Linked DNA regions of Saccharomyces cerevisiae S288C. The protein of the gene in region 2 binds, or shares a complex with, the protein of the main gene of each other region. Each region holds a gene or a part of one and is shown on either strand. Other genes may lie near its edges. The genes, in order: YCG1, SMC4, BRN1 and YCS4. A codon is read from its position in the direction of its gene.

The links.
Region 1: SMC4 (region 2) and YCG1 share a complex: the UniProt entries of both Saccharomyces cerevisiae proteins name them as parts of the condensin complex.
Region 3: the proteins of SMC4 (region 2) and BRN1 are in contact, whole or in part, in a cryo-EM structure (PDB 6YVU), measured with the Saccharomyces cerevisiae proteins. Residues at the interface, in NP_013187.1 of Saccharomyces cerevisiae: Pro175 (codon at 2,399), Val184 (codon at 2,426), Gly185 (codon at 2,429), Pro186 (codon at 2,432), Asn187 (codon at 2,435), Ser189 (codon at 2,441), Ile363 (codon at 2,963), Glu367 (codon at 2,975), Lys368 (codon at 2,978), Leu371 (codon at 2,987), Asn1385 (codon at 6,029), Phe1388 (codon at 6,038), Leu1394 (codon at 6,056), Val1395 (codon at 6,059), Gly1396 (codon at 6,062), Val1397 (codon at 6,065), Tyr1398 (codon at 6,068), Lys1399 (codon at 6,071), Arg1400 (codon at 6,074), Thr1407 (codon at 6,095), Thr1408 (codon at 6,098), Ile1409 (codon at 6,101), Lys1410 (codon at 6,104), Asn1411 (codon at 6,107), Ile1412 (codon at 6,110), Asp1413 (codon at 6,113), Ile1414 (codon at 6,116); in NP_009455.3 of Saccharomyces cerevisiae: Leu101 (codon at 2,503), Lys108 (codon at 2,482), Ser693 (codon at 727), Ser712 (codon at 670), Thr713 (codon at 667), Ser714 (codon at 664), Phe715 (codon at 661), Phe717 (codon at 655), Ile718 (codon at 652), Leu721 (codon at 643), His722 (codon at 640), Ala724 (codon at 634), Asn725 (codon at 631), Leu729 (codon at 619), Gln730 (codon at 616), Ile731 (codon at 613), His733 (codon at 607), Asn736 (codon at 598), Tyr737 (codon at 595), Asn738 (codon at 592), Leu740 (codon at 586).
Region 4: the proteins of SMC4 (region 2) and YCS4 are in contact, whole or in part, in a cryo-EM structure (PDB 6YVU), measured with the Saccharomyces cerevisiae proteins. Residues at the interface, in NP_013187.1 of Saccharomyces cerevisiae: Gln1283 (codon at 5,723), Asn1290 (codon at 5,744), Val1296 (codon at 5,762), Asp1297 (codon at 5,765), Ser1298 (codon at 5,768), Leu1299 (codon at 5,771), Asp1300 (codon at 5,774), Ser1303 (codon at 5,783), Met1311 (codon at 5,807), Lys1314 (codon at 5,816), Ser1316 (codon at 5,822), Trp1317 (codon at 5,825), Arg1360 (codon at 5,954); in NP_013374.1 of Saccharomyces cerevisiae: Glu901 (codon at 1,346), Val1006 (codon at 1,031), Cys1007 (codon at 1,028), Val1012 (codon at 1,013), Glu1014 (codon at 1,007), Ala1044 (codon at 917), Gly1045 (codon at 914), Gln1046 (codon at 911), Gly1088 (codon at 785), Ile1090 (codon at 779), Asp1091 (codon at 776), Gln1126 (codon at 671), Glu1129 (codon at 662), Lys1130 (codon at 659).

The regions. Positions count from the first base shown.
Region 1 is NC_001136.10:1,115,440-1,120,775, reverse strand, and holds YCG1 (condensin subunit YCG1), read right to left. Parts: upstream 3,651-5,336; coding exon 543-3,650; downstream 1-542. Other genes in the region: YSP2 (Ysp2p), read left to right, coding at 1-167; small subunit rRNA maturation protein UTP4, read left to right, coding at 4,013-5,336. UniProt on the Saccharomyces cerevisiae protein: Regulatory subunit of the condensin complex, a complex required for conversion of interphase chromatin into mitotic-like condense chromosomes.
Region 2 is NC_001144.5:300,367-307,042, forward strand, and holds SMC4 (condensin subunit SMC4), read left to right. Parts: upstream 1-1,876; coding exon 1,877-6,133; downstream 6,134-6,676. Other genes in the region: ARP6 (Arp6p), read right to left, coding at 307-1,623; CSF1 (Csf1p), read right to left, coding at 6,489-6,676. UniProt on the Saccharomyces cerevisiae protein: Central component of the condensin complex, a complex required for conversion of interphase chromatin into mitotic-like condense chromosomes.
Region 3 is NC_001134.8:38,921-43,633, reverse strand, and holds BRN1 (condensin subunit BRN1), read right to left. Parts: upstream 2,804-4,713; coding exon 539-2,803; downstream 1-538. Other genes in the region: MRX3 (Mrx3p), read right to left, coding at 1-357; BNA4 (kynurenine 3-monooxygenase), read right to left, coding at 3,107-4,489. UniProt on the Saccharomyces cerevisiae protein: Regulatory subunit of the condensin complex, a complex required for conversion of interphase chromatin into mitotic-like condense chromosomes.
Region 4 is NC_001144.5:683,157-689,112, forward strand, and holds YCS4 (condensin subunit YCS4), read right to left. Parts: upstream 4,047-5,956; coding exon 516-4,046; downstream 1-515. Other genes in the region: CMG1 (Cmg1p), read left to right, coding at 1-405; protein phosphatase regulator PIG1, read right to left, coding at 5,927-5,956. UniProt on the Saccharomyces cerevisiae protein: Regulatory subunit of the condensin complex, a complex required for conversion of interphase chromatin into mitotic-like condense chromosomes.

The DNA.
Region 1 (5,336 bases), on a different chromosome or scaffold from region 2:
ATATTAAGGAGAGTAATAACAAGAAGGTTAAGCTCGTAAATGGAGTTAGTGATCATAAAATACAGCAGCTAGTTGAATCTATAAAAATCACCGAATTGCAGCTGCAAGAAATGAAAGAATTATTGGCCCAAACGGATAACACGTCGGCTACTAACCAATTACTTTGATAAAATAACATTTTTCGTTCTAATATAGTCAAGTAGGAAAATTCTACTCGACTTTATTTTGTTCTTTTGATCTTATTTCTTTTACTTTAATTATATATAGGATATTTTCTTAGGATAATTGTAATAAAATGCATTAATAGTTTTATATGTCCATTTCTGGTGCATTACTGGACATAATTTCAGTTCCTTTCACCAAAGAATTTATAGCCTTGGAATATTTCCATAATTTGTCCCACCGGGTAATGTGCGTAATGCAATAACATATAGCATCTATATCTGGTAAGCGTAGAAGAATTAACAAACCTAAGAATAAAATACAAATATGTTTACAACCAAAAAATCAACTTAAATAGATGAAGAGCTCGCATATCAATTTTAACAGACCTCGCTGAAAGACTCTGAATCCTTATCTTCTTCATCTATGGACATTGCATCTGATTTCTCGTCAGGTAAAACAAAACTTACATTTTTTGCTACAGTTGACGTGTCTTGAATACTCATGTTTTCCAGGTTTTTGGATGTGTCAATTTGCTCCGCTTCTGATCTCGTTCTTTTCCTTGAGTTACTTTGCTCTGTTGTATTGTCAACTGCCGAAATATTAACAGTTGTTTTAGTCAATTCTGTGTTATTTCCATCAGTTATATCAGCAGCGTGTTCTATGGTGTCATTTGAAGATTTATTGAATGAATTCCCCAAAATAGACGAGTATTGGTCATTCGCAGTGTTGTTCTCATCTTTTGTCTGAGTTTCTGACCTTTCATTGATCTCTTCAATCAGCGAATTCAAATTATTCCTTAGCTTGTCCAGAGCATTTTTGCTAACATTGTCTAAATTATCATTTTCTGCAATATCGTCAGAATACTCAAGAAGTTCTTTCAAAGTAGAATAATCTTGTTCAGAAGAAAGAAATATAGCGTTTATATTAGTGATGATCATCTTCTTTATTTCTTTCTTCTCAATTTGAGCGTATATTTTGAGCACATCGATCAAGAATGTAAGCTGCACTGTATCTTTTTTTGTTGAACCTGTCTGGTTAACTAAGTTACGTGGATCAGTCCAAAATAGCAACTGTTGAAATATTATGTTAGGCTTTAGCATAGCTTCACGGTCTACCTCAGGTATTACAGAGCTCTGTAAATCGTCCCAAAGAACACATAGTCTTAAGAGTATGTCCGCAGCCGTCCTAGACATACGTTGTTGATGAGCAGGATGTGAAAAACAATAGACTGGAATGCAGAAGGCAAATGCCTGTACCAGCGCTTCGTTTGAGGAATTTATCGGCGAAAAATATGACAAAACCAACGTTTCAAACAAATCATCATCAGTGAACACGTCTGCCAAAAATAGTTTGCATAAACCCTCCGCTGCTATCACCTGACATTCCGGTAAACCGTTATTCTTTAAAACCTTGTAAAATATTTTGTGCAACGAGATTGAGTCAACTTTGCCTTCTCCGTCTACCACAGTGTTCCCATGTACGGAAAAAATATCTACAATGACTTGTAACGCAATATACTTTAATGATGCATTACCTTTCGAAACGCACATACCTAAGATGTACATGTTATCAATAGCCAACTTCACATCCAAGAGACAACATAAACCAAGGTTCTTGACACCAAGCTCCCTAATATTTGGCGCGGTATTTCTAACCGCTGGTGTGATCAAAGTGTCCATCAACGACGCAATTAAAATGTTTTCTGTTAACGGTGTGTTAACTAGTTCTAGCATATATGATGACCTTGTAAGACAGAGAACAATTGTTGCTGAGGACGCTTCCTTTTCGGGTGGGAGATTATTTATTATGTCACTCTCAGATACGTTGCCGTTTCCCTGCACTAAGTTTTCTACAGCAGAATGGAAGGATGAAATATTGTCGTCTTCTTCATCCTCGTTAACTTCGTCATTATGTGTGCCGTTTTCGTCCTCTTCATCGACGGAAGTCTCATTTCTGCGATTAATCTTCTTGCTTTTTATTTTCTCTTCTTGTTCTTGTTTTTCAATATCGTCGTCTCTAATATCATTAATGATTTCTATTGCCATTGTTACAAAATCTTTTTCATTTATGGACAGACTTTTCATTACACGAATACCAATTTTAATAAGAGGTTCGGAGAGTGTAGTTAAGGCCAGCATATTTCGTACCACTGTAAGCATCGATCTCCTTCCAACCTCATCGCTATAATCATACCTTTCGGCGGCAATCGATAGTTGCTCAATAATAAACTCTAAAGTGTTATAATCAAAATGCGACTGAGAGTCATTAGAAATGTCGTTGTGATGATATCTGAGAAGAATATAATGGTTTAAATGCTCGGATAATTTTGAGGCTTCTGGAAAGTTTTCTTCCAGCATTTCTGTTATATTATTATCCAAACAGTACAAATAAATAGCCCGAAAGAGGAAGGCAATTTCTACGGTAAAGTCTTTCCAAATACTTTCAGGAAATTTGATTTTAGATAATATATCTGGCCTTGATTGAAAAAGTGCTTCTATAGCCTTAACACACACTGAGGATCTTGAGACATCCAATTTTTCTAGTAATTCTATCAAATCGCCATCCAGAGCATTTAACCAATCATGAGCAATGAGTCTCTTACACGCATTTCTCACTGATAATTCCCTATCTTCTAAACCCCACTCAATCAATTGATCAAAAATATGCGGCTCAATATCATCGAAACACTTTCTTCCCATTGATTTCAAAATTCTCGAATACACGAGCCTTCTATTAACGATGTTTACATCTCTAGCCCTCTCCAAGATATACGGTCTAGTATTATTATCATTGATCAAATTCAGCATTGCAGCCCTCCGTACTTCAGCTGACGGATCGTTCTGGATAGAAGCAACTAGAGTTCTCGTAGCTTCAAAATTTTCTTCATTATCAGAAAGCTCAGTTAAATGTTCAGTTTGCTCTTCATCCTGAAATTTAGTTAAACAAAACACAGCCTGTATCCTAACCGTTGGTTCTCTATCATAAATCCTCTTATTTAAAGACAATATTAATAAATTGAAAAGTGATTCATCGATTTCCCCTATATTATCCATTATAACGGCTAATAACTGTAAAACTCTAAATCTGACGTTCTTGTCAGGGCTTTCCACACCACGCAAAACATGTCTTATGAACTGATCGACGAACCTTGAGAATATCCCTTCTTCATCATTCGTGAGCTTATAGTTTTGTTTTTTGGCCAATATCAACTCCCTTTCTAAAGAAGCTATAAATGCAGCTACTAACTTTACTATCCTGTCTCCGATAATCTCATTCTTTTTCAGAGGAAGGATCTTAGTAACTAATTTATCGAACCAAAAGTTAAAAGCATCTTCATAGCCTTGCTCAACAGCCTTTGACTGAATTTTCTTCAAAACTGCTATATGCTTCCTGTGTCCTGCATAAGAACCCTGTGCCTTTTGAAATACTTCAGCAACTGAGTTAAAGATTTTCGTATTAATGTCAATACCATCAGGATCTTGCATGATGGGCGCGGCCTGTTAACTTCTTTGTCTTATCCAAGGCTGTAGGCATTACTGAAGTGTTTTTGTTTGATCTTCAAAGAGCTAAAAAGGTAAACAAACACGAAGGCTCTACCCTTTCATATGCGGTGCACGGATTTTAAAAGTCGCAATAACTCAAGAATACGATAGATGCAATAAATCAGAGGTAAAGTGCTTTAGGCTAATACTATGAGCAATTCAGTATAACCTGCATTATCTCCTTGTTTTCCTTTGTATCCCCCATGATTTTTTTTTCTTGTTATTCCTCTTGATACCATATTAGGCAGGATTTTTTTCAAAAAACCAAATGAAAAATTTTCAGACTGACAAGAAAAAAGCTACGAATGAGCTCATCGCTACTTTCAGTTTTAAAAGAAAAGTCAAGAAGCCTGAAAATACGAAACAAACCGGTGAAGATGACCAGTCAGGAAAGGATGATAGTGCATAGATGCAGATTTGTGGATTTCACTCCTGCCACAATCACATCTCTAGCATTTTCACATAAATCAAATATAAATAAGTTAACTCCGTCCGATTTGAGATTAGCTATTGGTAGATCTAATGGTAACATAGAAATCTGGAATCCTAGAAACAATTGGTTTCAGGAAATGGTTATCGAAGGTGGCAAAGACAGATCAATTGAAGGCCTTTGCTGGAGCAACGTTAACGGCGAGTCTCTAAGGCTATTTTCTATTGGCGGCTCGACTGTGGTAACAGAATGGGATTTAGCAACAGGTTTACCATTAAGAAACTATGATTGCAATTCAGGTGTGATATGGTCTATTTCCATCAACGATTCACAAGACAAGCTGTCTGTGGGTTGCGATAATGGGACGGTGGTCCTCATAGATATCTCTGGCGGGCCTGGTGTCTTGGAACACGATACTATTTTGATGAGACAAGAAGCCAGAGTATTGACTTTGGCTTGGAAAAAGGATGACTTCGTGATTGGTGGTTGTTCTGATGGTAGAATAAGGATTTGGTCTGCACAAAAAAATGACGAAAACATGGGTCGTCTATTACACACTATGAAGGTCGACAAGGCCAAAAAAGAATCAACTCTAGTTTGGTCAGTTATATATTTACCAAGAACTGATCAGATTGCCTCTGGTGATTCTACAGGCTCCATTAAATTCTGGGATTTCCAGTTTGCCACGCTAAACCAGTCATTTAAGGCGCACGATGCAGACGTACTGTGTCTAACTACCGATACTGATAATAATTATGTTTTTAGTGCTGGTGTGGACAGAAAAATCTTTCAATTTTCTCAAAACACTAACAAATCTCAAAAGAACAACAGATGGGTAAATTCTTCTAATAGGTTGCTTCATGGAAACGACATTAGAGCAATATGTGCATACCAATCTAAAGGTGCAGATTTTCTAGTTTCAGGAGGTGTTGAAAAAACACTAGTCATCAACTCACTTACTTCTTTTTCTAATGGAAACTACAGGAAGATGCCAACTGTCGAACCTTATTCAAAGAATGTTTTAGTTAACAAAGAGCAACGCCTTGTTGTTTCATGGAGCGAATCTACTGTTAAGATATGGACAATGGGAACCGATTCTAGTACAGAACAGAATTATAAGCTAGTTTGCAAGTTAACTTTAAAAGATGACCAGAATATCTCAACTTGTTCTTTATCACCTGATGGACAAGTTTTAGTCG
Region 2 (6,676 bases):
CTACAAAGTCTAGTATGGGGATGATTAAAGCGCACACTTTCCTTCGAGACTTCTGATGATGACATTTCCACATTTCCATATATTTCTTTTTTTGTATCGCGAAAAAATGGGAAGAATGGCGTTTCTAACCACTAAAAAAGAGGAATTTTTGCCTAATTTGGGAATTTGTCAATAAAAATGTAAAACATATGAGATGTATTATTGCCTGCGGAAGATTCTTAAAAACATGACAAAATCCAAATTGAAAATGACCTGAAGGTCTCGACTTTTCGGATTTTCATTGTTGCTATGTAAATCTATAGTTAATTATATCCAATTCTGGTAACCAAACCTGTGCTTCGTACACCAATCGGGACCATGCTCATAGTATTCTTCTCTTGTGACCCTCGCTTTTCGGTAGGAATCTGTCTTTGCAAACTGTGACATCACTTCCCACCCAAACAGAGCACAGTCACCTTCGGGCACCGAAACATGACAAGTCCAATCTGTGGGTAATTGCCTTTGTAGTTCTGCCGCAAGCCGTTGGGCGAAATTGGGCAGATTAAAGTTTCCTCCTGTACATACAATGTTTCCTACCATAAGAGGTCGCACTATTTCGGGCAACATGGAAAGGCTCTCTAGGATGGCCTCCACAATGCCTGGTTTAGTAATTTGCGAAATTTCTGGATGGAAAAAAGTTTCTGGTATTGTGAAAAGCTCATCTGTCAGTGTTATGATCTGCGCATCTTCAGGTAACGGTACATTTTCTTTTCTGGGGTTTCTTACGTAACCAAGAAAGCTTGTTTGGAAGTCAGGAAGTACATATTCTAGTGCATGCTTATCCTTCGTTTTGAAACTATCAAAATAAGACACCGGGCTAACGAACAAGCATTGTTCCTTGATATTGTTAACAAGTATGGTTTCATCCATCATATTGTAGTGTCTGAATGATAGAGTTTCCTTTAGTAGCCCAGTTAGGAAACGGCCTCCAATGTCCAATTTTTTTACCGCTTTATAGTACGGTATTCCCTTCAGGACAGGAATTATCCAAGTACAATTAAACCCGGAATCAATAACTAATTGGAAATCATGATAATCGCTACCTGAATCCTGCGCATTCTTGGACTCGCTTGATGTGGAATTTGTACTGTCTGAGTTGCCACGGACAATATCGATATCTTCGTCCTTACCTGAAATTGTTCTCATTTCACCCTTATATGACTTGGTAAATGGTACAAAGACTGCTACAGGAGACTTGAAAAGACTGTCGAATTCATATTCTTCAAATATCACCTGGTCGGCATGCTTACTTAATTCTGGTAAAGTCATACAGCTCTCGCTAGCAACCAAATGATGACCCTTTCCCTCTTTCAGATCAAACCCATCAAACTCTGAAGGATTGAAAAGGCAATAATCCCATATACAACTCTCTAATTCCCATAATGTGAGCTGTCCTAGTTCATGTGGCCTCCTGAAGGTGATAGATGAAATATCTTTGATGTTTTTGATATGATTTGATAAATACGATGTCCCAAATTTATCTTTGGCCAATGCATTTAAAGCTCGGAACGGTTTCTTATTCGTGGAAGGACCAAACTTGATTTCGTATGAGCCATTATCAATCACAATGGGTGGTGTTTCCATAGTTTAAATTATCTTGTCCACGATTCTGCGCTTCTTCTCCTTTGGTCTTGCATTAATTCTCTTGTTCTTCTTGGCCCATTTTGAAATGCATTTGTAATTATGGACGGAAAGTAAACTGTTTACAATAATCACGAAAATACATATAGGTTTACATTATCTACACACTGGAATCGATTTCATACCATAAAAGAGGCCCTATAAGAAGCCGCATCACCTTAAACACTAACCACGTGCAACCAACAGAATATATTTGATGTCTGATAGTCCATTGAGCAAAAGACAAAAGCGGAAGTCCGCCCAAGAACCAGAATTATCTCTTGATCAAGGTGATGCCGAAGAAGATTCGCAGGTAGAAAACCGAGTTAACCTAAGCGAGAATACACCAGAGCCGGATCTTCCTGCGTTGGAAGCATCTTATTCCAAATCTTATACTCCCAGAAAGCTTGTTTTAAGTTCTGGGGAAAATCGGTATGCCTTTTCTCAACCTACAAACTCAACAACCACGTCATTACATGTACCGAACTTGCAACCACCAAAAACCTCTTCTAGGGGTCGCGACCATAAGTCCTACTCTCAATCACCACCAAGGTCTCCAGGAAGATCGCCAACTAGAAGATTAGAATTGCTCCAGCTTTCGCCAGTGAAAAATAGCAGGGTTGAACTACAAAAAATTTATGATAGGCACCAGTCGTCGAGCAAGCAACAGAGCAGACTATTTATTAACGAACTAGTCTTAGAGAACTTCAAGTCCTACGCTGGTAAACAAGTAGTAGGACCCTTTCATACTAGCTTCTCGGCCGTGGTAGGCCCCAATGGTTCAGGTAAATCAAATGTCATCGATTCCATGTTATTTGTATTTGGATTTAGAGCGAACAAGATGAGACAGGACAGATTGTCGGATTTAATTCATAAATCAGAAGCTTTCCCAAGTTTGCAATCATGTTCCGTAGCTGTACATTTTCAGTACGTTATTGATGAATCTTCGGGTACTTCCCGAATCGATGAAGAAAAACCTGGATTGATCATTACAAGGAAAGCCTTTAAAAACAACTCATCGAAATATTACATAAACGAAAAAGAAAGTAGCTACACAGAGGTGACAAAGCTTTTAAAGAATGAGGGTATTGATTTAGACCATAAACGATTTTTAATTCTACAAGGTGAAGTAGAGAATATTGCTCAAATGAAGCCTAAAGCAGAAAAAGAGAGTGACGACGGACTACTGGAATATCTGGAGGACATAATTGGAACTGCAAACTATAAGCCGTTAATTGAAGAGCGAATGGGACAGATTGAGAATCTAAATGAAGTTTGCCTGGAAAAGGAAAATAGATTTGAAATTGTTGATAGAGAAAAAAACTCTTTAGAGTCAGGGAAAGAAACGGCGTTAGAGTTTTTAGAGAAGGAAAAGCAGCTGACGCTTTTAAGATCAAAATTATTTCAATTTAAATTGTTGCAAAGCAACTCTAAACTTGCCAGCACCTTGGAAAAGATCTCCTCTTCGAATAAAGACCTCGAAGATGAGAAGATGAAATTTCAAGAATCTTTGAAAAAAGTGGATGAGATTAAAGCACAACGTAAGGAAATAAAAGATCGAATATCATCTTGTAGCTCGAAAGAAAAGACCCTGGTTTTAGAAAGAAGAGAATTAGAAGGCACCAGGGTGTCTCTAGAAGAGAGAACAAAAAATTTGGTAAGTAAAATGGAAAAAGCAGAAAAGACTTTGAAATCCACCAAACATTCAATATCGGAGGCCGAGAATATGCTTGAAGAGCTTCGTGGACAACAAACCGAACACGAGACGGAGATCAAAGACTTGACTCAATTGCTGGAAAAGGAACGAAGTATACTTGATGATATTAAACTATCTTTGAAAGATAAAACGAAGAATATATCTGCAGAGATTATTCGGCATGAAAAGGAACTGGAGCCTTGGGACCTCCAACTTCAGGAAAAAGAATCACAGATACAATTGGCTGAATCCGAACTATCTTTGTTGGAGGAAACTCAAGCTAAACTGAAAAAAAACGTTGAAACTTTAGAAGAAAAAATTCTTGCCAAGAAAACACACAAGCAGGAGCTACAAGATCTTATCCTCGATCTGAAAAAGAAGCTGAACTCACTTAAAGATGAAAGGTCGCAAGGTGAAAAGAATTTTACTTCTGCTCATCTAAAGTTAAAAGAAATGCAAAAGGTTTTGAACGCGCATCGCCAGCGTGCAATGGAAGCTAGATCCTCTTTATCAAAAGCTCAGAATAAAAGTAAGGTTTTAACAGCTTTATCGAGACTGCAAAAGTCAGGACGTATAAATGGTTTCCATGGACGTTTGGGCGATTTGGGCGTTATCGACGATAGTTTTGACGTTGCTATTTCTACTGCTTGTCCGAGACTAGATGATGTCGTGGTTGATACTGTAGAATGTGCGCAACACTGCATCGACTACTTAAGAAAAAACAAACTTGGTTATGCAAGGTTTATTCTCTTGGATAGGTTACGCCAATTCAATTTACAACCTATCAGTACACCAGAAAATGTACCGAGACTATTTGATTTAGTTAAACCTAAAAACCCAAAATTCTCAAATGCATTTTACAGTGTTCTTAGAGACACTTTGGTTGCTCAGAATTTAAAACAAGCCAATAATGTAGCATATGGGAAGAAAAGATTTAGAGTTGTCACTGTGGATGGGAAATTAATTGATATTTCTGGTACAATGAGTGGTGGTGGCAACCATGTAGCAAAAGGTCTAATGAAATTAGGTACGAATCAGTCAGACAAGGTTGATGATTACACCCCCGAGGAAGTAGATAAAATTGAGCGTGAGCTATCTGAAAGAGAAAATAACTTCCGCGTGGCAAGCGATACGGTCCACGAGATGGAGGAAGAACTGAAAAAATTGAGGGACCACGAACCAGACTTGGAATCACAAATATCAAAGGCAGAAATGGAAGCTGATTCCTTGGCGAGTGAATTGACACTGGCAGAACAACAAGTGAAAGAGGCAGAAATGGCGTACGTCAAGGCAGTTAGTGACAAAGCGCAACTAAACGTGGTGATGAAGAATTTGGAACGCTTGAGAGGCGAATACAATGATTTGCAATCCGAAACAAAAACTAAAAAGGAAAAGATCAAAGGCTTGCAAGACGAAATCATGAAAATTGGTGGTATCAAATTGCAAATGCAAAATTCAAAAGTTGAATCAGTTTGTCAGAAATTGGATATTCTAGTGGCCAAACTTAAAAAAGTCAAATCTGCCTCAAAGAAGTCAGGAGGAGATGTCGTAAAGTTTCAAAAACTGCTCCAAAACTCTGAAAGAGACGTAGAACTATCATCAGATGAGTTAAAAGTCATCGAAGAACAACTAAAACATACAAAACTGGCTTTGGCAGAAAATGACACAAATATGAATGAGACGCTCAACTTGAAAGTTGAATTAAAAGAACAGAGCGAACAACTGAAGGAACAAATGGAGGACATGGAGGAAAGCATCAATGAATTTAAATCTATAGAAATCGAAATGAAGAACAAGCTGGAAAAATTGAACTCACTGTTGACGTACATCAAAAGTGAGATAACGCAGCAAGAAAAAGGATTAAACGAACTATCAATTAGGGATGTAACCCACACCCTGGGAATGTTAGACGATAATAAAATGGACTCAGTGAAAGAGGATGTTAAAAACAATCAAGAACTTGATCAGGAATACCGGTCCTGTGAAACTCAAGATGAGAGTGAAATAAAAGACGCTGAGACTTCTTGTGACAATTATCATCCTATGAACATTGATGAGACTTCAGATGAGGTATCCAGAGGGATACCAAGACTTTCTGAGGACGAATTAAGGGAGTTGGACGTAGAACTGATTGAAAGTAAAATAAATGAATTGTCATATTATGTCGAAGAGACTAACGTGGATATTGGAGTTTTGGAAGAGTACGCTAGGCGCTTAGCAGAGTTCAAAAGAAGGAAGCTGGATTTAAATAATGCTGTTCAAAAAAGAGATGAAGTTAAGGAACAATTAGGAATACTTAAAAAGAAAAGATTTGATGAATTTATGGCTGGCTTTAATATCATATCAATGACCCTAAAAGAAATGTACCAAATGATTACTATGGGTGGAAATGCTGAATTAGAACTTGTGGATAGTCTAGATCCTTTTTCTGAAGGAGTTACGTTTAGTGTTATGCCTCCTAAAAAGAGTTGGAGAAATATAACAAACCTTTCAGGTGGTGAGAAAACACTAAGCTCCTTGGCTTTGGTTTTTGCTTTACATAAGTATAAACCAACCCCCCTTTATGTCATGGATGAAATAGATGCCGCTCTGGATTTCAGAAATGTCTCAATCGTAGCTAACTATATCAAAGAAAGAACCAAGAATGCACAGTTTATTGTTATTTCGCTGAGAAATAACATGTTCGAATTAGCACAACAGTTAGTTGGTGTTTATAAAAGAGATAATAGAACCAAAAGTACCACGATTAAAAACATAGATATCTTAAACAGAACTTAGCTAGTACAATAATCAATTCAAGAGCACTTGCTGATTGTAATATCATGCTATCAAAGAAGTTTAAAGATACTACCCAAATTCCCGCCTGTTTATTTCTTCTTTTGGGCAGCAGTTAGGAAATAAAAAAAAAAAAGGTCAATGATAATGCACCAAAAACAGAAAGTACATGTATATCTTAACAAACTCTCAAAATACAATTTAAACAAAGTTTTTTGAAGCAAAATTCGAATGCAAGATTCATAAATATGGGGCGTAGGAAATCTATACTATATGCAAATATCACGTAGTTAAAAAACTATAAAACATAAACCAGAAATATGGTATCAAGGACTTTTGAATATAATTAGGAACGAGATTAATGCGTATCATCTAGTATCTTGACATACTGCTTTTCTGCAAGATAAACAAGCTTTTGGACGGGGATAACTGCGGTTTGGTGAGTGAATTTCGGAAATTTTTTTCTATTGACACCAAACCATTCCATAGGTGGAGTGGCGTCTCCCAGATCTCTTATCTGAGGCACTTCGATCTGCGGTTCTTCTA
Region 3 (4,713 bases), on a different chromosome or scaffold from region 2:
AATTTCAAGCTTCCCCTTGCCGAACAAGAGGCCTTGTCCTACATGATATTCCCTATGCCCGCTTGGTATTTTCTCACTGAATAAGACATGGTGCATCTTCTCATCCTGGGCCAACTTGTTGTAAACCTCGCTTTTCTCGATTTGAGCGAGGATGTCAACCCTCTGCAGCTCCATAGGTTGGCGGCTCTTGGTCGCACTAATCAACTCCGCTGGCGTTTGCGGATCATTCAATGATAGAACACCGGCATCATCGGGCCACGCCTTTACAAACGCACCAACTCCTAATGTAAAACCTGCCGTAGGCAAAATTACTGCCCTGTTGACTAATTTAAATAGAAATGGAATAGTTCTGGACATATTGGAACTCACCCTCGATCTATCCTGTCATTTGGTCATTGTCTATAAAAATAAATACCTTGTTTTATATCCACTTTTCGAAGCGGTCCCCTTTCGGCGATAAAGGATTTCGTAAGCCCGAAGGCTTTAAGAAACTTTGCAGCACAAAAAAAAAAAAAAAAAAAAAAAAAAAGATCATCAACTATGACGCTGCCTGTGTTGTCGCTAGATCCTCATAATTCACTATCAAGTCATTATAGTTTTCGGTATGAGTTATCTGCAACCCATGCTCATTGGCTAAGTGTAGAAGGCATATAAAACAAAAGCTTGTTGAAATGTCCTTTAGTGTATCATCCGAATACATTTTACTTATACCCTGAATGATATCAGAAAACTTGAGCTCCTTTGTTGATTCATCTTCTGTGTGGGTTTCACTGTCATTAGAGCTTTGTTCTCTATTTTTCCTACTGTCATGTTCTTGTATCAAATTGTTGATCGATCTCCATACGTTTTTCTTTAATCTTCTTACGTCAACTTTTTTCGAAACTCTTGAATAAGTAACTTTATTTTCTCGAATGGGGAACTTATGATCTTCGTCATCCTGTAAATCAAGTTTCACACTGGCCTCCTCGTTATCATCTGTTCCTTCGAAAGCTTGGTTGAAGTCAACACCGTCCATGTCATCTTCAAACGGATTATCGAGCGCTCCACCCACCACATCACCAACCTCTTTAGACTGCTCCTTTTCTTTTTCCTCTTGTTCTTTCCTTTCGTAATTATCCGCCCAAAAGTGCTCATCTGCAATAGTAGGAATGTCGTTATTTGAATGGTTGGCAGAAACTGTGCTTTTTTCAAAAAGCCCCGAACTAACGTCGCCTCTGGTATGCTTCCTATGACTGAACAGACTCATTTTCTGCCCCGGTTTAATGAACAATCTTGTTATTCTATCAGTGGAAAAATGGAAGTCATCCGGCAGTAAATAATGTGTGTCGTTCTTTCTGTTCTTAATCGGCATGTCAATCTTTGTCCTTCCTTTTGAGGCAAAGACTTTGTCTTCAAAACTATCATCCGTTTTGAAGAAATCAATTTCCAGAACCTTTTTTTGTTTATGCTTCTTCTTCGTATCCATCGATTTGTCGTCCGTTGTGTTTTTGTCAGTAGTATCTCCTATAGTAGTTCGCGTTTCTTCCAACAGGTCGGATTCTTTATTCACTAAGTTTGCTTTCTTAAAATTTCGTACTTTCCAATGTTCTCTCCCTCTCCAGTTTCTATTTAGATTTTCGTCAAAGTATGCCATCAAATCTTTTTCGAATATACTTCCTGTGGTACTGTTGACATTATCATCATCTTGTTCATCATGTGATGTATTGTCATGATTTTCATCTGGATAGCACAGCTCCTGTTGCATGCCCATATCAAAGCCATCGCTATCATCTTCTGCATTATCTGGGACAGCTGCTTGCAATTCTTCTTCAGTTAAGAAGTTATCAAATCTGTTGTTAACATTTTCGATAAAGTCTTTCGCTTGATTAATATCTTCGACAACGTTCCTTAGTTGCTCAATCGATCCTGAAATTTCACACACCGCAATTTGATCAAATTTTATAAAATCCATACCAAGAGATAAAATCTCATCTTCCATGGAAGGTGCACTAATAACGGAATCATTTACGGTTGAGTCATTACGAGTACTTATCAATGACTGGCTAGGTTCATTTTCGTCATCTACTAAACTATCTCTTTCAATTAATTCTTCTTCTTTCCTTTGAAGTTTACCTTGCCCTACGTTTTGTGTATCCTTAATTGATGCATCGAAAATGACTCTTGCAGTGTTGTCTATGTTTAATGTGTTCAACAATAAACTCTTGGCGCCACCTTCATCGAAATCAACCAAGGCCTTTTTGAATAATGGATCAATTATTAATTCCTGGTCTAGCTCTTTCATCTTGATCGTTTCGAACTCCACCAATGTTGTTTCTAAAACTCTGTTGTACACTCTCCGCCTAGTGTTATTCACATCAGGATCATTAGATATAGGCATACCAGTTAAGGGATCAATCTCTATATTTGCTTCGTCACTGTCACCTCCAAGCCCTTCACCATTTCCCCCGTTACTGTCATCTCCGTTAGATGCCCCATTCGTCTTTCTTTGTGCCAACCCGCTCAATAACTTACCTGTTTCCGTTGTCACTGAATCAACTCTCGAAGAGTAAATCTTAATACACCCATCCAAGGTTGCAGATGCTTTCTGAAAATTGATGTTATTCTCGCCATCTTTCAAAACGTCCAAGTCATAAAAATAGTCGATCAATGCGAAATTCCAACTATTTCGGGAATTGATTTTATTATCTGTAGCCATTTTGATCCATTCTTCAAAATTTGCCATCATGGTGGATCTATTGGTAAAGAGATTATATTCTACTCTTTCATCGTCATCGTTATTTTCATACCTTAGTTGTGTAGTCATCTTATATAACTACCTGCTGGTTTTTTTTGCTCCAAAAAGTCCACTAAGATGATTTTTTGGTGCAATAAATAGAGTATTTAACTAGCCAATATAAAAAGTTCAACCATATGGATATTATCTTGACAATACTTCACTAAAATGTAAACAAAGAAAGCGCGAACAGAGCCGTTTACCGTTTCGCGTGATCAACATCACATAAAATAATTAGTGTATTATATATATATATATATATATATATATGTATATATCACTTATTTTAATAATCCTCTCCTAGCGTACACGGATGGCAAGAATAAACTGGCTTCAGGAACGTTCTCTTGTCAAAAATTTGAAAAGCTTGTAACCGCCAATAGATAACATACCGAGTGTCAGAGATTCTAAGAATTTCAAGATACGTGTTTGCTTTCCAGCCCTTTCTAAAGCTCTAGAATACGAGATATCGGATCTGAAAGATATCATTGTATACAAAGGTATCCACTTATCCTTCATTATAATACTAAAGAGAGCATCTAGCTTTTTCCTTAATAAAAACCGCTTGGATGTAACGTCATGTGACATTTCTTTATAGTTCCTTTTTGCCAGCTCAGTAATAGAAACTAGGTCCTTATGTCTTGTTTGAGTGTACTCAGTAAAGGCTCTTGAACGATCTCCTGAATGCTTTTTCAATAGCGCCATAAGAATTCTCACATCTTCAAATCCGCAATTCATACCTTGGCCGTAAAATGGAACCATTGCATGGGCAGCGTCGCCGAGTAGGATGGCCTTTCCGCCTGGTACATCGTATGGCTTACAGTTTACACAGACAAGACTTTCCTTTGGATAAGTGATAAACCTTTTGACAGCATCGTCCAAATCCATAATATTAATAATATCGGGAAAGTTCTCGATTAAGAATTCCCTCACACGTGACTTGGAAGTTATCAGATCTGATATTTGATCTTTAGAACCGAAAAAGGTTGAAGTGAACGAGCCGTCACTGTTGGCGAGCGCAATTAACATGAATTTATGACGAGGCCAAATGTGCAAATGGTCAGGAGCTATTGCAAAATTTCCGCCATAGTTTGGCTTGAATTCCTCAGTAGGCGGGATGTAAAGTTCAATGTAACGTAAATTCATATATTCTTGTGAAAAATCCATCTCAACTTTACGTTGCATTTGCGATCTCGTCGCAGAGTATGCTCCGTCACAACCTATGACAAAATCATACTTTTCAGTATGTGGGGTTTTCAAATCTTCCCCAATGGCAAAATGACAGATTTGTTTATCATCTGTCCATTCGATTTTGACTAATTTGTGACCGAACTTCAGTTCTGTTGTAGATTTTTCTAATTCGTCCAAAAGGCTATTATTTAATACAGATCTATTGATAGAATTAATAGCTTCTCCATGCAAGCCATACAATTGTGATTCCTGTCTGCCTTTCAAGTCATGAATCATCCTGCCTTTCATGGGAATCATATCTTGCAGAATATGTTCACAAGCATCCGGATCTATTGATTTCAGAGCATCAATGCCACGAGCAGAAATAGCCAAATTAATGGATTTCAAATTTTTATTTTTGGTGGTGTCCAATCGAGGATCTTGTCTAAAATCATATAGTGTGACATTGTAGCCTTCTTTGGAGAATGCCAAAGCTGCAAGGCAGCCTACTAATCCTGCACCTATAATGGCCACTGATTCAGACATATTTTCAAGTTAAACAGATTAACTGACTACGTGATTTTTTAACTGTCATTCAATATTTTATTATTAAAAACAACGTCCGTGCCAGAAATTCGGGCCTTTTATAAGAAATAGTGGCGGAAAAAAGAGTCAGTGCTAAGAATGGAATAAACTAGAGGCTATTGTGGGAAAAAAAAAAACAACTCCAAAATAAAAACCGCTTGCAGGCGATATTTCCTTATTTTTGT
Region 4 (5,956 bases), 380 kb from region 2:
GATCCGAGAGACTTTAACGTACTTTGGAGATCTTACGTTATGCAACTAAATGAGGAAGTAGCAAAAAATGACCTAAATAATCACAGTAACAATGATAATGAAGATAAGAATAATATGATACCAATGGTAAATGAAAGTTTGGAGGCTTCGCCTGCAATAAAAGGTGAAAAGTTTGGACGTCCTTCTACATTAATAGATTGTGATACTTCAATTATCGGTAGTCGCATTACAAAAGACACAGAACTTGCTGAATTAGAAGAATTGAGCATTGAAAAAAGAATAACAAAATTGAATATATTCCTGAGGTCCGAGAAGTACTACTGTTTTTTTTGCGGAATCAAGTATAAGGATGAAGGTGATCTCTACGAGCATTGCCCAGGAGTGAATGAAGACGACCACAAATGAATTTTATCGAGATAGGTAAAGTCATATTTCAAGAAGAAAGAAATGAACAGCTTTTATTTATATAATAACATATAATATAAAACGGAAGAAACGGGTAAACGTCAGTTCGATTATTCTTTTGCGGATACAACCTTGAAACCTTGCTCCAATAATGCAGTGACGTCTTCATTTTTGTATGGTAGATTGTTTAGTACGAATGCAATATCATCCCATTGCTTTTGGGTCTCGCACTTTCTCAGTCTTCCAACTAATTTCTCGTTTAATTGCTTTTGGTGCCGTTCCTTATCGATAAAAGTTAACAGAAATTTGATGATTTTCTTGAAACTCTCCTTACCCAATAAATCATCTGACGATAAATTACTAAAGATATCGATGAATCCATTATAAATGGCGTTGTCCTTGGATGCTAACTCGGTGAAAAATAATCTGCACATATCACTTATTCCCTGGTCTGGATTGTCTAGGCATTTGGCCATTTCTCCTAATTGTCCTTTAACCTTAACCTGTCCAGCTAAAATCAAGAAGGTAACTGTCATTAAACATGTTCTTTGTACCATTAAGTTTTCATCATGCAAACGGCGATACAAATAATCTGTGTTTTCGTCTACTAAGTTGTTGAAGCATACTGCCATGTCACCTAGTCCTAAGACAGCATTTGAGCGAATAGTAGGATCAGGAGATTTTTCCATTACTGTGATTAATAGCGGCAGGCTCTTTTCACAATATTTTGATGATAAACACATTAGTTTTTCTAGACATAAGGTTGCCGTTCTTTGAAGCATTGGATCGCTAAACCTGCTTGAATTAGAAACAATCTCTTCTACAATTGGGCAAAACTTCCCTAATATAGATTTTTCTCCAAATAGTAATTCATTCTCTTTTACAAATTGAATAGCATCCGTGAAATCGTCCTCATTAGTACCTCCTATCATTTCTAGCTCTTTATCACCACCGTTATCTTGTGTGGTGTTAGTTACATCTGCACCTTGGTTTTTTACTTTACCGTTCCGAGTTTCTGCCTCGATCTTTCTTTTCTTGAATTCTGCCTCACATTTCTCTAGATAGACAAGTGTTTTAATTGCCACTTGTCCTACAATGAATAATAATTGACTGAGAGAAACAACTCTAGATGATTGTTCTAACGACAAAATAGAGTCTTCCTCTTCAGGTTTACCAAATGTCATCATTGTCTTTTCTCTAATCAGATCTGTAGCTAGTATATCGGGCTTAGAAGAGATTGTAAACAGTGCACTAAGCGCTTGTTCGCACATAGGATAATATTCATTATCCTTGGTATAGTTGATAATTATGGCATACAACTTTTTCACTGCAACATCTTCAAGCTCTTGATTTATTGCCTTGGTAATAATAGTGCTTCTCTTGGGAACCATTCTCTCTAACGCTAAACAAGAATACCGACAAAGGGTCAGATCTTTTAAACCAACGGCACCAAGTCCAATGTTTAAAAGTGACTCCAGTCCTTTTAATGCTATTTCGTTATCGGCTAACGATAACATTCCTAAAATAATAATAGAACCATGAATTTGTTCCTTAGAAAACCCTTTTTCGGAGTCACGGTTGTTCACATTTTGTTCTTTCTGCATACTGGCCTTCGATGCAGAATTGTAAATAGCCCAAAGGATATTAATGACATGTTGATCAATCAATTTTTGTTCATACATCATTCCTAATAGCTGTTCCAAAGAGGCCAAGTCTGCAATAGATGCGCCGATGCTTAGATTAATTAAATTTTTGGCAATATGTGCCGCCTTCTCCTGCATATTGCAACTATCTGGCGCGGTTAAAAATAGCTGCTTATAACATTCTATCAAATGTACTGATATACTCGTTCCTTCATCGTTTGTGCCCTTCATCCAAACCAAATGCAGCATTTTTTTTATACCAAATTCGCTTAACTCAATGTCAAAAGCGTCTGCTAAAACTAGGAAGTCCATTGATTCTAAAACTTCGTTTCTGTTCTTAGAAAACAGCAAATTAGATATCAATTCAATACTCTTGTGTATCTCTTTAATGAAACTAATGGCATCTTTATAGTAAACAATCATTAACTTTAGCTTCATGAGAACACTGGTATTTGTTGCATTTATATTCTCTACCTCATTTTCTATTCTAGAAAGTTCTGCGCTCTTATTGAAAGAACCTTCTAACTCGGTCCTACATTGACCTTCATCTTGTTCTACCTCTTCTTCAATCAAAGACCTTTCAATCGTGTCATTCAGAGTTTCTTGTGACTCTACTTTCTTTAAAGTGGAATTTAGCTGTGATTCAGATCCTTTGAGATATTCTTCCCATTCACTCAGCCTCAATTGGCTACCATGTATGGCCTTAAAAGGATGTTTTAGCAATAATTTTGAAAGTAACTTTACTGAGTTCCTACGAACTAAAGAGGAGCGGTCCTGCAATGATCGTACTGCCAACGAAGTAAATTTAGCTTTGCTTTTGTTAAATTTCGAACTCAAATCGCAGATCTTTGAACACCCTTGTATCGCCTTCGTTCTAACGTAGGGATTTGAATCCTGGAATCTTTCTTCTAGTAACTCAATAAGTACGGCTATTTGTTGTTTATAATGTTCCATAGTTTGTGGGTCTTGAGCCAATTCAGCCACAATATTTCCACATGCTTCTACAACGGAACATCTCAATGTTATAGAACTATTGTTGAGTAAGGTGATGACAAGATTCATCTGTCGAAGCATTATTCCTGGTGATAGCTCTGATAATTTAATCAAAAAATTTGATATTGCCTTTGGGCCTGTGGTATCCTTTGCGTTAAATACCCTGGTGCTGATTTCTTTCAAGATATCTTCTGTTAGTTGTGGATAGTTATATTCATCATTCAATAGTTTTAGTAATTCTGCATTAAAAACCGACAAATGAAGAAAATAAGTTAAATTTGTCATCAATGAACTTTGTATACTTGAACTTTGACCGTGATTTTTAACACACATAGCCAAAATCCTTTGAATAAACATCTTTAGTGATGATACCTTCGTCACAGGTTCAATCTCTAATAACACAAATAATGGTCTTGTGAACAAACCAATAAACAAATCCTTTTCAGGAGTTGTCTGAAATATCTTAGATAAGTTAATCTCCAGTAGCTTTGTTATAGATTCAAGCAAGTTTTCCATTTGATTACAGTCTCTTTTAAACAGCTCGACGTTTGCACTATCATTCTTACTGTTTTTGGCAGAACGGTTTAGATTGGTAGACTGCGAGGAGACCTTATGTAACTCATCTTGTAAAAACGTCAAAAGTACCTGAATAAGGTAGCCATACTCTTCTAAATGCCTTTTCCACTGCGGTATCAGGCCACCAATTTCAGTAAAGTTAACATTTGATGAGAGATTAGCCTTAATATCTTTTGACAGATTCGACAGAGATGAACTTATCAAATAGCTTAGTTGAGTTTGTAATTTCGGTGTTAAGTGCGGGAAGTCATGGCAAAGATCTATTAATGCTTCTAGTGAATCTGGACTAGCATCTATTTGTTCGGGTGAAACGGCCAATTGGTCTATGATAACATTCAGTTCTCTGGATGGGTCCTGCAAGCGAGGATATGATTCTCGATCTGTTGTTTGGAACTTGGTCAGATACTCGGAAAGGCTAAAGCCGGACATCTCATAAAGTAACGAAGTCAGTTACCACCTATCAAAGGATAAAGATATTGTTACTGCTGCTTCCTTTACCTTTCTTTTTTTTGGTCAGTGACAGGTTATTTTCTTTGTTTACTAAATGGTCGCAAGATTTTCGCGATGCGTTTAATTTTCATATTATTGCTTTCCAATTTACCCAAAGTGCAATTGACAAAGGCCATTAGTCTTTCTTTTTACAACAGTAAGAATATAAATATACAAGTGCAGTATTTAAGATACTTAATTCGAAAAGTGAAAAAAAAAAAAAAGAATCTGGAATTGGTTATTTTAATTTCTCATATGAATTGCTTTCCAAATTCTTGCAATCAATAACATTTTTTATTTATTTTTTTTTCAAGATCAGAACATGTATATATATATATATATATACTGTTCATACCAACAATTATCATTTAGTAGTAAAGTTTGTGATAACGATCAAGCTAGAAACTCCATAGATATCCTGACCCTTACTCGTTGTAAATAAAAGGCTCGCGACAAGAAAACAACGCGTTACTTGATAATAATTTTAAAATCAAACAAAAGAGGTGGGGGAAAGAAGCCCTTACTATTGAATAGCAGACATTTTATTCATCTCGCAATACTACTACATTTCTATGAAATATAACAGGTATAAAAAATGATTTCGCCCAGGATCGAACTGGGGACGTTCTGCGTGTTAAGCAGATGCCATAACCGACTAGACCACGAAACCTATTATTTATGTTTAATCCACGTTACACCACCAATTATACAAAAATAAAAAAGAATGACGGCAAAAAAGCAAAAAGTGACATTAATCATATTTGTTTATGTCTTATTCTACTGGTAGTATTCATCCATTAGTATATTACTCTCTGTATAAGGTTATAATGTTGAAATGATAATCAACTATTGTGTATGATCAATTGGTGAATAATTTGATAATTGTTGGGATTCCATTTTGCTTAAGGCAATATAATATTATGTATACACAATATACTAGAAGTTTCTCCTCAAGGATATAAGACTCAATAACATGGAAACAACATTTCTCCACAAAATTTTGTAATTATCTTTCTTCCATTTTATATGTTTCACATCCTATTAATCCTCAATTCTCGCATGTTCGGTTTCATATTAAATTTGACTACTGTTTCACATAGTATATTTGTTGAAATGAAACTCTAAAATATCATTTATTAGTAGTATTCATGTTACTAGAATCTATTATCATATGCGGTGTAACAAGATGGCATAAAGATTGGGAAACAGTCATCAAATATAATGGAAGCTGAAATGCAAGGACTGATAATGTAATAGGACAATGAAACATATAAAACGAAAGGTGTAATAATTATAAGATTTTGTGGAGAAATATTGTTTCTCTTTTATTGATTCGTATATTCTCGAGGAGAACTTCTAGTATATTTCACATACTCAATAATATAACGTTTACTAAAGATGGTGTTAACATGTTAAAAAAACTTCGATTGTTAAGAGTCCTTTTGTTATACAACTCTTTAAACGACTGTTTAAACCTATCATTTCATCACAAACTGTAAAGGTAAGAGTTAAAGCAGATATATCACCTATCAACTGCAGCTAAATATCGTGAAATGAAAAACTAATCGTTATTTGCACCAATAAAGAACGAAAATCCCCCACTGAATTTAAAATATTTCTAAAGAACTAAAGTCATTTCGACTAATGAGAAACTAAAGTCAGAAACAAAAATGCAAAAGCAATATTAACTTATGTGAGCAAAATATTTCATATCTAATCTATGAAGGCAAAAGAATATGATTAACTATTTTATTAATTTTAATTAAAATTTTATTCTCTTCATTCCAAGGATTTTGTTATTATTGTAATATGGGCGATGGTTAGGGTGACGGCGACTTATAAAAATAATC